2 linked regions of the Bombyx mori genome follow. The protein of the gene in region 1 interacts with the protein of each later gene in a biochemical or structural test. Links are inferred from orthologs where the notes say so. Each region holds a gene or a part of one and is shown on either strand. Other genes may lie near its edges.

Region 1 (5,067 bases):
CGAATTTCATCCTTCTGTTCTCCTTTCTGCACTTGGTCTACGTTGCCCAGGGCTTACCCTCAAACGGCCATCAAAATTTTGATGGCGGGCATGGCGTTACCCCACTTAATTCTGGGCGAAATGCTAGCTGTGGTATCGTGAGGGCGAACTCTTTTGAAGAGTACTGTTACATATGTTCCTCAATAATAACGCAATATAAATAATAATGCAGACTAAGGTGCATCGTTTCATATAAAGACGATTTGTGGCTAAAGCGCGGCAGAACAGATTTGGCATGAGTAGCGGAAACACACATCGTTTGTACTATTTACTATTTTTTTTAGAAAATAAACTCAGTGCCAGCCACAGCTTCCTTTTTTTTAAAGGATCCACACCGTAACAGTACGGCTGTGATTTTCGTGGGGTTAATGTCGACGCGCATGCCACTTCCGGAACCACTGTCCTAAAGTGGTGGCCGCGATCTTTAGTTTATAATGCATGAACGACATTTTCCTGCTCGAGTATGTAGCATGTTAAAAATTACTTGTAACATTATATTGTAATTATTACATACATTGTAAGATGTAAAACTAGATTTAAATTTTAATAATTAATTGTGTGTTGAATGGACAAATGTTTCTCATAACTTCACTCTCTTCTCCTTCTTTGTGTGTGTTCTTTCTGTGTGCTTAGTGAGAGTTTTTTAACGTTCTGGATGGTGTAAAAGTTAGCTTATATTTGTATGGAATAGGATCGTTTGAGTACGTTTGCCGCTAGGGGCACTGTTCCAAGTAGACAAAATTGGGTTAACTTTTACGCTATCGAAAACGTTAAAAAACTCTCACTAAGCACACTGTTCTTTGACAATAAACTGATAGTGTTTTAAACTGTGCGGGTGGTTTAATTTTACAACACTTCAAGTACTTGATAGGCGTATCATTAGCGAAAAGAGTCAACTGTAAGCTAAAAAGTAGTAGTGAGAGAACGGAGCCTTGTAGGACTCCGGCTGACGTTTGTCGCTTCCTGTCGACCAACTCCGTCTGTTCGGGATTAGCAGTTTGAGCACTGGTGGAGCATTGCTCTTGCAGTATATCTGCTAGTTGGCCTGAGGCCCATACGAAAAGATGCGTAGTGGCGATAGTTTCCAATTGGAGGGTCGCCTAGCTAGTCGCCAATATGCTTGATGAAAAGGTGCGAGTCCTTCTAAATAACTTTCCCACTTTGTATTTCGGGTTTCATCTAGGTGTAGCGGCGTAGACGACGCATCCGAATCTGGTTTATTCGCAACATCGTGAAAGTTATTCATGAATATGTTTTAAGTAGATACGTATTTCACTAGAAAAAATAATTGCTGTCTGCTGGACTCGAATATTGGTATTATCGTATCGTTCGACATAAATGCATCGGGCATCATTTAGGCCACAACCCATTCCCGATCCTGCGGACAGAATGGAAAGCAGTCGACGTCGCCCAAAACACGTCATCTCGGATCCTCCCGATCCACTAACGGTGCTTTTAGGTACTTCAAGCACCGGTCACCGTTCTCGTCGAACCCGACGCTTGCGTCGAAGGGCTCGACGAGCAAATTAACTCTCAGACACAGCCCACTGAGTTTCTCGCCGGATCTTCTCAGTGGGTCGCGTTTCCGATCCGGTGGTAGATTCTGCGAAGCACGACTCTTGCTAGGGTTCGTGTTAGCAACATCGTCAGGTTTGAGCCCCGTGAGCTCACCTACTAAAGTTAGGGTTACGCTGACATAGCCTCTCAAGGCTCTCAGCTTAGGTAGGAGAAAAAAAAAAAAAAATAGGCCACAACCACTCCGTCATCATGATATTCCATAATCCATTTTAGGATATTCGTTCTCTTCATTCACTTGTGTTTTAATATTCGTGTAACAGATAAGGCCTTTTTTTATATTCGATAATTTATGTCATGAAAATAAAATTAAGAGTCACGGCTGTACAATGTGATTTCTTCGCTTTCTTGTATTCGAAAACTAAGAAATTTCAATTGTTTTGTGTTTCTTGTTTCTCCGTTCCCGTGTTATTTATTTTATAATTTACAATATTCAGCAAAACAACCCATATGAGGAAATATAACTACTCATAAATTAAACCAATATGTCCAGATCTAGGGGATTTGAAATAAGAGAAGGGTTACGTTCTCATAAAAAGCTCAAAGAAAATAAAAATGAAAATGAGACTTCTGATTCTTCTGAACGTAAGTTTAGATAAAAAATAATAAGAATAATTATTTTAAAAAAAGTAAATTAAAAATCGTATTAACGTACTTTGACTGACCTGGTGGTGCAGTAGTTAGCGCCCTAGACTATTGTACCAGGGCTCGTGGGTTTGACTCCCGGGCAAACGTGTACCCATATCACGGAATCCTGATTTGGGGCCGGATGATCGTGCATGACTTGTTTACTGTTATTTATTATTAATTACATATGTACAAAACAATTCAATTAGTTGAAGTCAATTAAATTTGCATCACTTATGGATACATAGTTCAAAAACTACTGGTCAGATCTCAATAAACTTTAAATAGGAGCACATGAGAACCATCGCTCTTCAAATAAAAAAGAATCATTAAAATATCCTAAAAAAAGTTCTAAGAAAAGTAAAAAAAATGTATATCTCCTCCCCTTTTGAAGTCGTTTTTAAAAAGACAGAAATATAACGATTTGTAAATAGAAGATAGATCATATTACTTTCATAAGCATCGTGAATGTCAATCAAAGTATTACCTTATGTATTAGCCTTAATATTACACTTATTATGAGAAGAACCATCTCTCAATAGATTGAACCTAATTATTTTATTATATCTGTTATATAACCACCATAATACCTGTGGTGAAATGAAGTAGACAGGTATAATTTTTTCTTATAAAATACACACAACTTAATACATGTTCCTGAATGACTTCCGCCATAACTTAGTGAATAAGAATCAAACACACAAAAATGTAACTTATACAATAGTTAGTACAACTGAGACAGTTGTTTTCAAGTCTTATGGTGATTGGCAGCATTCACATTGTGATTTTTATATGCTCTGGTAACCACCTAACATCAGATACTACATGAGATTGTTCACCCGATTACACAGTGAAGACAAAACTGTGTCATTAAACACATAGACATCCAATAAATAAGTACATTAATAATTTAAAATAATTATTGTATTTATCTCTAGGTGAACAAATATGTGAACTTTTATATAAGCTACCAAAACTGGACAAGATTTTTGAAGTGCACCGAAAGATAGGAGAAGGAACATTTAGTTCAGTGTATTTAGGCTCACTGAGACAGCATTCATCTTTGCTAGACAAAGACAAGCGTTGGTTTGCCATAAAACACTTGGTACCTACTGCACATCCAGCTCGGATTGAACACGAGTTAAGGTGTCTACAGGACATAGGGTATGTTTTAAAAATGAATCTGCATCATTACTAATATACACAGGCATTATGTCCCATATATTTATTTGACTAGAATTTATTTTAAAGTACAATCTACGTAATTACTTATCACCCCATGGGATGTTGTTGCCATCTGCTCATCTAAAAATGACACAGGAATCTGCCATTCATGGATCAAGGTCAAATCTACACAAGGGCACGTCATTATGTGTGAACATCATCATTTGTTGTTACAGATGAGGTTATTAAGTCGTAATCCTAAATCTTGTTGAATTTATATCTATATGCTATGAGTAACAAGACCATCATTAACTGAATAGTACCACATTGGCACATGAGTTAATGTGTGTTTGAATGTCTAGCTTGTGTAGAGGTATTTATCCATTAATTTAATTGAACATTTTACGTGTGTTATATTACAGAGGCAAACATCATGTGATTGGAGTGGAGCTCTGTCTTCGTAATCTCGACACTATTGTATTTGTAATGCCCTATCTACCTCATAAAAAGTTTTCTGTGAGTATGTCAGTCAATCTATATAAACAATATTTCAAACATTAATAGCATCATGGAACATTTACTTATCTGTTGGAAAAATAATACTCAAAGTTTCAGTTGAATCTAAATTAGTCTTATGGAAAGATAATATGTGTTAATGAACATTCAGTTTCATAAAGTATTAGACAGAAAATCATTAATTGTGTCAAAACTGCCATGACAATAGTTAGTTTTTTAATGAAATTATTTTCATTTCAGAAAATATCATATAAAGTTAATATTTTACACAATGCAAAGTACTAAAAGCAAACAAGCTTAAGAGTAGAATATTTTTTTTTGATAATTGATTAATGATGATGTTGGTGATTTGATTTTTAATGACCAGGATAATGGCAGATCAATATACAATACAATAAATTAAATAAATTCATTAACTTTGATTTTGTGTTGAAAACAGTTTTACAAAACATTAAAACTCTTTCACACCTTACAGTCCAAAACTGTTGTGCGACCATGTACTGAAAATCTATACTAATATTATAAAGAGGAAAGATTTGTTTGTTTGTTTGTTTCGAATAGGCTCCGAAACTACTGGACCGATTTGAAAAATTCTTTTTCCATTAGAAGCCGACATTGTCCCTGATGAACATAGGCTACTTTTTTTAATTTTTTTTTTTTTTTTAGTTTCATGTGTGTTTTAATGTTTCCGTAGCGAAGCGAGGGCGGGTCGCTAGTATCTAATATAACACAACACATTCGACACAAGCGACACATTCTCGATCCTGCGGACCGAATGGTAAACAGTCGTCGTCACCCAAAACACGTCATTTAGGATCCTCCCGATCCACTAACGGTGCTTTTAGGTACCTCAAGCACCGGTCACCGTTCTCGTCGAACCCGTCGCTTGCGACGAAGGGCTCGGTGAGTAAATTAACCCACAGACTCAGCCCACTGAGTTTCTCGCCGGATCTTCTCAGTGGGTCCTGATTCTGCGAAGCACTACTCGTGCTATGGTCTCTCAAGACCATCAGTTTATGAAGGAAAAAAAACTAAGCGACGTAACTGACCAGGCTGGTAGATCTAGATCTAGTGTTAGCGATCTACCTTCTCTGGGTACAGTAGGACTAAATAAAATATTATATGGAAGAGCTGGGATCCGTTCCC
Region 2 (4,351 bases), on another chromosome or scaffold:
AGTTAATCAACATAAATTATAATATAATATGCTAAAGTATAGTTTTTAAAATAGGTAACTAGATTTTGTGTGAAAACAACAGAATGTTGTTCATTTATAAAGTCTGGCCTTGGTATAGAAATTTTACACTTTGTCTTTTTTTTTTCTACCTATGCTGATTCTCCTTGATGTGTAGGTGAGCTCACGGGGCTCAGACCGGAAGTAATGCGAACACTGACCCTAGCAAAAGCAGTGCTTCGTAGAATCTACCACCGGATCGGAAACGCGACCCACTGAGAAAATCCGGCGAGAAACTCAGTGGGCTGTGTCTGAGGGTAGTAGATTCTGCGAATTACGGCTCTTGCTAGGGTTCGTGTTAGCAACGACGTCAGGTTTGAGCTCCGTGAGCTCACCTACTAGTTAAGGTTACGCTGATATAGCCTCTCAAGGCTCTCAGCCAAGGTAGAAAAAAAAACTGTGAAGATCCGGCGAGAAACTCAGTTATGGCTTTGTGTCATGTGTAATGTAGTGGCAGTTTTTGTTAAAACGAAACATGTATTGTTTAGGAGGCAGGCAAGTTACTGGTGGAGTACTACGCGTTGCTGCGGGGCCGTGAGGGGGGCGCGGGGGGCGGCGCGTGGCGCATCACGGTGCGCCAGCTCGAGTCCATGGTGCGGCTCGCCGAGGGCGTCGCCAAGATGCACTGCAGCGGACACGTCACGCCCGCGCACGTGCACGAGGCCTACCGGTACGGTCTGCAGGGGACACTGCCTTTTCTTTTGTTTTTTGTTTTTGCTGAGTTGGGTGGACGTGCTCACAGCCCACCTGGTGTTAAGGTGTTACTGGAGCCCATAGACATCTACAACGTAAATGCGCCACCCACCTTGAGATATAAGTTCTAAGGTCTCAAGTATAGTTACAACGGCTGCCCCACCCTTCAAACCGAAACGCATTACTGCTTCACTGCTGCGAAGATGTTTGACAAATGCCTGAATCTCGCTTACATTTTCAAGATCAGCTTGTACAAGTTACGAACAACATTGGGACCGTCGGTCTACCGAGCAATATCATCCGCTTGGTTCAAGATCTTCCCTCTGTGGTATCACCCTACACTAGCATCAACTATTCGATGTTTTTAATTGAACTTCAATTAAGTTTACTCTATACAAATGGCTGAAGAAAATTTTTTGTAATGATATTTTTTCCAAATTTTAAACATTAAATGGCTCTCCTGTGAAGTCGCAAAAATGCCGCTTAAACCATATAAACTTTCCCGTCGATATATAAGATACTACTAAGAACTATTATATAATGCATCTGTGCTTAATTATTTTTTCTTTGTCCTTATCGCACCACACGGATTCGGCGCAACGTGTCCTCTTTTTTCATCCCTGCACGCACACATTTCCCTCGCATTTCCTCTTTACACGATCCATCTAAGTGTTTTTAGAACGCCCGCTCTGTGCCTAAATTTTGTGACTTATATACTATTTTTTAAAAGATTTTATGACCCGGTAATTAAGGCCTTTAGGTCAAGTCTTATTTTAATTTATATTCTTATTTTTACGAAAAAGATAATGGAGTGAAATGAAATGAAATGAAGTGAAATGAAGATGATTAATTTGAGACATTAATGAACTGGGATTAAATTAAATGAAATGAGATGAGATGATATGGGATGAAATAAATGATATGGGATCTCAGTAAAATGGTGGTCATTTACTGAGATTTTTTCAGTGAACTTTTTGGAGGATCTTGAGAAGTTACGTCCAGCAGCTCTGTTTCATTTTCCTACATTTGTACACTTTAACAGATATTAAACAGTTAATAAACCACCGTTATTACACACTTAAACCTGAAGAAACACCAAATATACAAAATAAAACAAATCACACCACTTTACTCCTCGCGTTCCCGCCAAAAAGTCTCACTTATATACTATAAAATATTTTTCACACAGATTACTAAATAAATCCATTATTCGCGTGGAGCAGCCCGATATACATTTGGACGAGGATGAACCTCAATGCGAGCCGAGCATGGATGTGGATCAAGACGAACCTAATGGCACTGCAGGTAATTAAATATTTCAATTAAACATATATACTAATTTGTTGATAGACCACATCATTCTTGGAACCAAGACTTTGACCTAACATGGTGGACAAAAGCATTCCAATTTAGATATTTAAGCGATAAGTCTGGAATCAATTCAAAAAAACTGTTTACCTAAACACAGTCTAAAATCTAGGTCTACAATACGAAAATTAAGTATATAGGTACAAGATTTTTATTTAATATTTTATTGCTTAGTTGGGTGAATGAGTTCACGGCCCACCTGATGTCAAGTGGTCAGCGGAGCCCATAGACATCTACAACGTAAATGCGCCACCCACCTTGAGATATAAGTTCTAAGGTCTCAGTATAGTTACAACGGCTGCCCGACCCTTCAAATTGAAACGCATTACTGTTTCACCGTAGAAATAGGCAGGGCGGTGGCACCTACCCGCGCGGACTCACGAGAGGTCCTACCAACAGTAATTACGCAAATTATAATTTTACGGGTTTGATTTTTATTACACGATGTTATTCCTTCACCGTGGAAGTAAATCGTGAACATTCGTTAAGTACGTATTTCATTAAACAAATCGGTACCCACCTGCGGGATTCGAATGTACCGGACATCTTATCCTTTAGGCCACGACGACGTTCTGTTGCATCCATGCGAATGATATTCAAGGGTAATGAAGACATCTGTAATGATGCAAACGATATAGTATAACTATATTTTCTCAGAAAAACAATAGCAGTTGCGTTAAGAAAAAATAATATTGCCATCCCAAATATAACTGTCGAAAGGTACTCATTCCGAAAAATTGTAATGTCCATTAAAAATAAAACTGTAATAAACTAGTGTCAAGAATTGTTCATTGAACATAATATTTGTTAAATAAAATTGAATATGCAATTTCGAAAAGGGCACATCTCTGGAAATGTAAAATGTTCAGGAAATGAAAAAGACTGATTATTTTCTAAAGCAGTGTAAATTTAAAATATTAACTTTTGAGATATATTTTAGTGTTAATTAGCAATTAAAAATTACTGGAATTATTATAAAATGGGTGTAGGTAAGCCTCAAAACTACATGTATATGAAAAAACGTATTTGACAAAATAACCGAAATTGCATATTCAATTAATCGATTCTTGTGTTTTTCTTCTAACCGATTCATATTACACACATTTCATTAACATTCGATTTCAGAAACTCCCAGCAATGGTGATTCGGCGCCTAAAAAGAAACTGGCGCTTTCATTCGAAGAATACAAAAGCCTCAGTAATATGCTGGTCGTGTACATGAGGAAGGAAGAGGCTGAAGCGGAGACGAGAGGTCCAAATTATATAATATTAATAATATATAATATAGTAATATAATATTATATTCATATATAATATATAACTAACACGACTCTGGAATACACACACAGAAACCATCGCCATAGTAATAGGCGCAACAGGCGTAGTGGCAAAAAGTATACATAGATACATAAACAAACTGGAAGCAAATATAAACATACAAATAATGCAAAAACAAGCAGCCATACACGCATGCACAATAATAAGTAAAGTTTTGGGTAATACAGTTTTCATAAATTCAAGGGAGTCTGAACCTCCTCTTCCCTGAAGGTTTCAGGGCGGGAGCTAGGAACTAAACCGAGTCCAGAACTCGAAAGAAAACTCATTAATAATATAATATTAATAATAGTTAATAGTAATACACAAAGGTTTAGTTCGATCGAGTCCCATCTAATTTGTACATGCAAGATGTTTGTATTGGGTTTGGGTATACTCGTTTTCGTTTCTTATTTTTGTTTTCACAACACAGAAAAAGATCTTTGCTTCTTGTAGAGTCATGTAATGTAATTATTCTTAAAAATAATTTGAACACAACGCATACATTTTATACAGTGCAGAACAGCACTGTATTTGTCGAGTTCAAGTCTAAGGATTGAGGCCGGACACTCTGTTTTTTTTTTATTGCTTAGATGGGTGGACGAGCTCACAGCCCACCTGGTGTTAAGTGGTTACTGGAGCCCATAGACATCCACAACGTAAATGCGCCACCCACCTTGAGATATAAGTTCTAAGGTCTCTTGTATAGTTACAAGGGCTGCCCCACCCTTCAAACTGAAACGCATTACTGCTTCACGGCAGAAATAGGCAGGGTGGTGGTACCCACCCGCGCGGACTCACAAGAGGTCCGACCACCAATAAACCAGTGAAATATCTTGGTCTTGATACATTTTATTACCATTTAACTAATCTCAGTGTAACTTATATTTCAGACGAGGAGAGCTCCGGTATGCACAAGT

Evidence for each region. The genes of interacting proteins can lie anywhere in the genome.
Region 2: of the proteins of cell division cycle 7-related protein kinase (region 1) and DNA replication licensing factor Mcm6, one has a biochemical effect on the other in vitro, tested with the Homo sapiens proteins (2 studies listed by BioGRID). The link is inferred for Bombyx mori from reciprocal best matches to the Homo sapiens genes CDC7 and MCM6.

The regions. Positions count from the first base shown.
Region 1 is NC_085121.1:308,343-313,409, reverse strand, and holds the start of cell division cycle 7-related protein kinase, read left to right. Parts: upstream 1-1,669; 5' UTR 1,670-2,099; coding exon 2,100-2,199; intron 2,200-3,179; coding exon 3,180-3,405; intron 3,406-3,827; coding exon 3,828-3,921; intron 3,922-5,067. UniProt on the Homo sapiens protein: Kinase involved in initiation of DNA replication. Phosphorylates critical substrates that regulate the G1/S phase transition and initiation of DNA replication, such as MCM proteins and CLASPIN.
Region 2 is NC_085132.1:5,456,911-5,461,261, reverse strand, and holds part of DNA replication licensing factor Mcm6, read left to right. Parts: intron 1-545; coding exon 546-727; intron 728-1,939; coding exon 1,940-2,055; intron 2,056-3,243; coding exon 3,244-3,369; intron 3,370-4,324; coding exon 4,325-4,351. UniProt on the Homo sapiens protein: Acts as a component of the MCM2-7 complex (MCM complex) which is the replicative helicase essential for 'once per cell cycle' DNA replication initiation and elongation in eukaryotic cells.